2 linked regions of the Ovis aries genome follow. The protein of the gene in region 1 interacts with the protein of each later gene in a biochemical or structural test. Links are inferred from orthologs where the notes say so. Each region holds a gene or a part of one and is shown on either strand. Other genes may lie near its edges.

What was found. The genes of interacting proteins can lie anywhere in the genome.
Region 2: of the proteins of histone H2AX (region 1) and PPM1D, one has a biochemical effect on the other in vitro, tested with the Homo sapiens proteins (3 studies listed by BioGRID and IntAct). The link is inferred for Ovis aries from reciprocal best matches to the Homo sapiens genes H2AX and PPM1D.

What each region holds. Positions count from the first base shown.
Region 1 is NC_056068.1:29,402,700-29,406,138, forward strand, and holds histone H2AX, read right to left. Parts: upstream 1,939-3,439; 5' UTR 1,866-1,938; coding exon 1,434-1,865; 3' UTR 630-1,433; downstream 1-629. Other genes in the region: HMBS (porphobilinogen deaminase), read left to right, coding at 1-17; DPAGT1 (UDP-N-acetylglucosamine--dolichyl-phosphate N-acetylglucosaminephosphotransferase), read right to left, coding at 3,153-3,218, 3,302-3,439. UniProt on the Homo sapiens protein: Variant histone H2A which replaces conventional H2A in a subset of nucleosomes. Nucleosomes wrap and compact DNA into chromatin, limiting DNA accessibility to the cellular machineries which require DNA as a template.
Region 2 is NC_056064.1:12,011,682-12,015,329, forward strand, and holds part of PPM1D (protein phosphatase 1D), read right to left. Parts: intron 1,090-3,648; coding exon 532-1,089; 3' UTR 1-531. UniProt on the Homo sapiens protein: Involved in the negative regulation of p53 expression. Required for the relief of p53-dependent checkpoint mediated cell cycle arrest.

The DNA of each region.
Region 1 (3,439 bases):
GGCCACGTTGTTGCTGAACAAAGGAGCCAAGAATATCTTGGATGTTGCACGGCAGCTCAATGAAGCCCACTAATTGGTCTGTGGGGCACAGGTGCCTGCCTTGCTGGTGTCCAGTGCCTACATCCCAGCCCTCTGCTACCTGAGGAGTGGCTACCCCCACAGGATTGAACTGCAGGGGCAGAGACTTCCAGAGACTTGTCTCACCGAGGGGCCTTGCCTCCCCAGGAGGCAAGGAGGGGGCTTCCTCTCTAGAGAAAAAAAAAATCTTAATAAGAAGCCACAGCCTTTGAATGTAACCAGTTCTACTAATAAACCAAATTTAAAGGTGGTTTTTGTTTTTGGTGGAGCTGCAGAAAAGGAAGGACAAACTCAAAACTCTTTATTTATGCCTGATCTCTGAGGCTAGGACCCTTTCAAAGTTCTCCTGAAAAACGCCTTCTGTCAGTAGTTCCCATTTTTTGACAGAATCGAGTGTCTCCCAGGGAACGCCAAGAAAGCCATCATCTTAATAATCTACAATTTGTCGCTCCAGTTAACAGTAAAGCCTTATATCGGTTCCCCTCCCCCACTACCTTTAGGTATCTACAGAGTCGACTCTACAACCCTTTTGCAAAATGAACACAACTCACTTTTCTTTAGGAAAAAACCCTTTAATAAAATTAGTCCATCTGAAACTCCCCCCAATACCTAAAGTACTAGTTTTGGATGGGTTAGCTGCAAAATTCCAGTTCCGAAGCCAAAGGCGGCTCAGTCCAGACGGGGATTAACGGACTTGTGCTGGTATCTAGGTGCTTGGCAGGCGGAATGGACCCGACGGGAAGGGAGTGGGGAGGAGGGGCGGGCCCGGAGGCAGGGCTCCCGCAGACCCCACGCCGCCAGGACCCGCTAGTATTGGAGACGGTCACGCCGCGAAGGGTTTCTTCCAGTACGCGCACAGGCCTGCGAATGAAGATGGAGGGAACGCGGACGTGCGAGGCCCGAGATCCGGCAACAAAAGGGGTCCTGGGACGAAATGAAGCAACCGATTGACTCCGCCGGCGGCGACAATCGAGTCCTGTACTAAGCACCGAGCTGAAGCAGAGCGCACGGCCTCGGCGGCGACCGTCCGCACCGACTCACCTTCCTCCCGCACTCCCCGGCCCGGCTTTCCGGAAGGTGCCGCGGCCTCCCCGCAGCCCATCGGCATTCTGGGGCCAAGCCGGCCGAGTCACGAGCTCGCTCCCGGGGCCGAGCGGCGTTCGAACGCACGCCCTCCGCCGGGCTTCGGCGGGAGCCAGCCGCGGGGGGGAGGGGCGGGCCGGGAAGGGGCGACAGCGCGGCCGCCAGGCCGGGAGCCCGAAGTGGCCCAGCTCTTTCTGTGAGTGCTGTGGTGGCCCTTAAAAGGGCCTTTGTGGTGTAGAGGGGAGGGCTGGGCGGTGGCGGCACGGGCGCCCTCAGTACTCCTGAGAGGCCTGGGTGGCCTTCTTGCCGCCCGCTGGCGCCTTCGGCCCCACGGTGGCGCTGGTCTTCTTAGGCAGCAGCACGGCCTGGATGTTGGGCAGGACGCCTCCCTGGGCGATCGTCACGCCGCCCAGCAGCTTGTTGAGCTCCTCGTCGTTGCGGATGGCCAGCTGCAGGTGGCGGGGGATTATCCGCGTCTTCTTGTTGTCGCGAGCCGCGTTGCCCGCCAGCTCCAGGATCTCGGCGGTGAGGTACTCGAGTACCGCCGCCAGGTAGACCGGCGCGCCGGCGCCCACCCTCTCGGCGTAGTGGCCCTTCCGCAGCAGCCGGTGCACGCGGCCCACGGGAAACTGGAGGCCTGCTCGCGAAGAGCGCGACTTGGCCTTGGCGCGGGCCTTGCCGCCGGTCTTGCCGCGGCCAGACATGCTGTATGAGGTAGAGGAGCGGTGAGGACGGCTAACAAAACACAGGAACAACCACCCGCCGCAGTCTAACGCTTCCGCGCGCGACCACGGGCTGCCCTTATAAGCCCCTCAGGGCACACCCCCGCGCCTTTCTGATTGGCTCTTTTCTCGAATACCCGCCTCTGGTTGGCTGAGGTTAACTCTTCGGTGACGCGCCCCAGTTGAGGGAACGCGTCCGCCGATTGGCCGAATTTGAAAACCCTTTGCCCGGGGAACACGGGAGGAGGCGCAGAGACTACCCGACAGCCAGCCAGTCTCGGCTGTAGCCAATCCAAGTGAAGCGCGCCAGATTTAAACGCTATAGCCCGAGACCAGAACCGGAAGACAAGAAGGGTAGAATCGGAAGCCACCTCAAGAGCGTCTGGGAAGTCTGCGCAAGGCAGGCCTAAGATTTTTAAAGGAAAAGAGTCAACACCACAACTACCTCTGCCTCCCGTCCTAGGTCTGGTCACTCCCTCCTCCTACCTGGCAAAAGAAGAGTGAAAAAGGGAAGGAATGAGACCCCCACTTAAAGTCCAACCCTACCCCAGAGAACAGATAACCCCAATCTTATGGCCCTTTATGCCACCCAAGCAGCAGATTTCACATTTATTCAACATGTTCTGTCTGGTCTGTTCTTTCTGATCACTTCTTGCTAGGAGGCGCCTGATGTGCTTAAAAAAAAAGAAAGAAAGAAAAAAGGATGGGACAGAGATAGGCATCCTCTCCGAGGAAATACCTCCTTCAACCTTCCCCATCCACCCTACAATGCCCACATAGGAAATATACCTATAGGAACAAGAAGAAAAAGACAATACTTTATTGTCACCACTGGGAGCACCTGGCCCCCGGTCTGCTCTTAATCATCAGAATACTTAATTTATAGTCAAATGTCAAGTCACCTTTGAACCTGTGTCTCTATCCCCAGCCAGGGTTCTGTCCCCAAGTCCAGCATTCTCCTTGAGTGTCAGAGTTGTGGGCAATTGCATAAAAGCTACAGTACCCCAACTTAGGAGGCAGCAAAGATGGGATGGAGAGGGAGAGTGGCAAGCTGAAGAAAGCCATAGGCAAAGTCCAATCACCAGTCATTAGAGAGTGAGACAGGCCCACGTGTCAATAATCACAGGGGAAAGGAAATGCTGAGAACAAAATCTGGAGGAAAATGAAGGGTGGGAGAGGCCTGGGCTAGTTGGCAGTCTTGGTCCAGGAGATGTTGGCCTGAGTCAGTAACCCCGGAGGCTGTGAAGCAAAGGGCAATGGATCGGGGCCTCAGACATCATAGAAGAGTCGGACAAGCTGGTACCGAATGGAGAAGGTGACAGCACTACCAACGACCTGCAAGGAGAAACGAACTATAGTAAGAACCCTGGAGAGAGGGAGACAAGGAAGTGTAAACCACACCCCCAATAGCATTGCACCTGTAGCAGCAGCAGGAAGAGGGTGAGGTTTCTCTCATGCATGGGCCCAAAGACTTTAAGTAGCAAGTTGATGAGGGTCATGTTGTTACATTCAGTGAAGGCACCATCCTCATTCTCACTGTGGCGCACCGTCAGTAG
Region 2 (3,648 bases), on another chromosome or scaffold:
CGGCTTCTATGAAAAATTTAGTTCTGGATTATGAAATTAGAAATAAAAAATAATTTAAAAAAGACACTAGCTGTCTCTAAGAAACATTAAGTGAGACACAGGTCACTATGAAAATACATCACTTTTCCAGTTTGCTTAATAATTTACTTTAAAAAGTTGTGTAGTTTTCATCACAAGTGACATACAAATTTCTTAATAAGCATTTTTAAAAGTTTTAATGTATTTCTAAAATCTAATAGATTTTTTTTTTTAAACCTTTAGCCCTGTTGTTACATTTACTGTGTATCAGAGTAAGAGACTGAGTTTGTGTGAAGGATACAAATTTACACACATTTTACAGCAACTTACACCCTAACATCTACAAAATTCACATTTATAATACAAGCAAGTACAAGGCCAGGCTAAAATTGTTGAATTCCAAAAAGTCAAACTCATACTATTTTTATTTTGTCCCCTTAAAAAAAGTTCAACTTCGGCACCAAATTCAAAAAAGCCCTCTTAAGAAGTTTGGAAAAAATTTCCAAACATATTTCAGCAAACACAAACAGTTTTTCTGTGCTGGTGAAGTAAAGGATTCCCAATTTTCTTCTGGCCCCTGAGTCTGCGTCGCATGGTAAGTTTAACAGAGTTCTTGCGCTGGGAGGTTGTGGGGAGGCTTGCAGGCTGAGCACCACTGCTACGACTTAAACCATTCCGTCTGTGCTTCTTCATAAGAGGGCCAGAGTTGGATTCTTCTAATGTCCTTTTGAAGTTTGCCGGAGGGGTTCTTTCAACTTCTTGGGCTTTCATTTGACCTGGGCTCGGTATCTTCACATTTTTTTGGTCCATGATGGTGTTTGTTGAATTGGTAGGCCCCAGGCCAACAGACAGGCTATTATTCAAAGAATCATGTATCCTTAAAGTCAGGGCTTTAGTGCAATTTTCTTCTAGTGGCTCTGGATCTTTTGAGGATATGACTGCAGCCTGGACATTCCCTCGAGCTATCTCAGGTGGGACTTCTAAATAATTCTCTGAGAAGGCATTACTACGAATAAGGGCAGGTATATGGTCCTTGGAGTTCAGCCTTGGCCATGGGTCCTCCTCCAGGGGCTGAAAAACAAGAAGGTAAGACCAAGTGAGAAATAATTTATCCTAGAATTCAGCTTAACCATTGGGGAAATGAAAGGGTTTCATTAGAATAAATGACAAAATTGTTTACTTGGGGGGTTTATTTCCTACTTTCTATATTTAATTTCTGAATATTTAGTAGTGTGGAAAAAGTAAAGTGCGACACTAAAGCAATTCTGTCACAATGGAAATTCAGACTGTCGCTTTGTATCCATCTCCTGAACACTAGATGCTGTTCTGGGATTTGAGAAAATAGGATATATGGGAATGTGCTAAGTATGGCTAGGGCAACTTGCAAAGATACAAACAAAAATCATATGCAATTTTCAGGTGTTGTTTCTTAAAAGCTTCACAAGGAGGCACAGCTGTGCACTACTTTAGGTGCAGTGCACCAAAGCTAAATGTCGGAATATCCTCCCATCTCCAGACAAGAACATTCTTCCTATCAAATAAAAATCCTCCACTATTTTAATATTTTATAAAATCACTATTTCAATAACTTTCTCAAGGACAAATTTTAAGCATAAATACTTCCTCTTCCCCAAATGTGTGTATCATTTTCCTCAATCTTTCCTCTTTCAATCAAATCAAATTTATTAAAATATTTTCCGAAAATAAGTAAATCCTTTTGTATTTAGAATGGTAAATAAAGATATATTATTAGTCACCTTCTGATTTAAAATTCTCTAGGAATAAACACCTTTTGAAAAAGTACTTTATAAAAAAGCATATTTGTAAAAGTAATGTTTCCTTTAATGTTTCTAGAATTAAGAAGAAAAAGGGAAACTGCAGGAATCTAAAAGCATTTCAACTTAACCATAAGCATGAACATGCTTTACTAAGAAAAATAAACCGACTTTAGGTCCACTGGAGGCTAGAGATGAGAAACTCTGAAGTTCCTAACGTAGTACTGCCCCAAATAGAATACTGCTATGCTTTTTAGAATGCTTTTATTTATTTATTTGGCTGTGCTATGTCTTAGTTGCAGCATGCAGAATGGTTGCAATATGCAAACTCTTAGCTGCAGCATGTGGGATTTAGTTTCCTGACCAGGGATTGAACCCAGGTTCCCTGCATTGGGAACCTGAAGTCTTAGCCACTGGACCATCAGGAAAGACCCTTAAGCAAAAAAAAACCTAAGTATATTTCTTTCTTTCTGGGGTCACTGGTTCATTTATTTATTTTACATTGCATGGTTTATGGAAAGCCCAATTCTTATCTGTTTTAACACTGACTAGATGTTGGGCAGCAATCTTATTTTGAAGTACTGATGTTGAGAATGGATAACAGAACAGTCTCTATTCTCGAACATTCACATGTGGCTTTCAGCAATATCAACGACAACCTGTCTGTAAATTTATCCCCTCTGCATTAGGTTGATTCCAGTGCCTACCCTGATCACAAGCATATACTGACTGATCACAGAAAACTATACCTCACCATACGTAATTGTTGACTAAAGGTTCATCTTGCTTTAATATAAAAAAGGATTTGCAACAAGACCAGGCAGCAGATAAATTCTGTAGACAGAAGATTTCCTACTACCAAACAAGCACATTACTAATTTAGGGACAAGGAAAAAAGATACTAATCAGGCCACTTATAGGAAAAGAACATAACTGCTTTAGCTTGTACAACGAGGTTTAGACATTAGATGGAATTTCTTTACAAAAGAAAAACAATGGGATGATTTTAGAGTTAACACAGTTTGTTGTAATTTCTGTTGTGCTGTGTTCTTTTAAACTCACAAACTATTATTCTGATACCACAGGTGCACTGACTTTTCTTCCCCTACTTATTCTTTAACTTTTCCATTTCCTTCTCTTCTTATTGGCATTCTATGGGAATATACCGCATCTGTTTGCGCAGCCAACCGCTTAGACTTCTGAGACTCATTTCAGATTAATTACCACCTGTATGCTAAGCCTTCTTACATGTTCATAAAACACATGATATTGAGAGGTTACATCCTAAAAATTCACACTTGCAAAGATCACACTTCAGAGATCCACTTTGAGAGCTCCATATATTTACAATCCAACAGTAAACAGCTAATTACAAATTGTGCCTAGAATGCAACTGAAACTAAGTGCTAATCCTCTGAAAGAACTCTCTTCCTCATTCCTCCTTCCTAGAGCTCTTGGCTTACTTAAAAAACAGCTAAAATTAGTTTTGCCCTAAAGAAAGATGGAGAAAGAAAGGTGTGCCATAGTAATATATCACTTAAACAGAAGTATTTCTACTATTTTTGTCCCAAAACAAAGATTTGAGTACTGATTTAGCTGACAATTCAAACAGAAGTTGACATGTCTGTAGAAGTCTTAAAAACCATTCAAAATCAACCAAAATGTCATTATATTTATCTAGATGCTACTAAACACAGGATTATTATTATAACAATGAAATAAATCAGAGATACTCATGAGTAGCCATGGTTAACTAAGATAAAAGAAACAAAACAAAACACAATCTCTTGAGCAGAAATCTGTCTTTATTTACTTGTTAGGCCAGAGCCTACAATAGTGATTATTCTGAATGGCT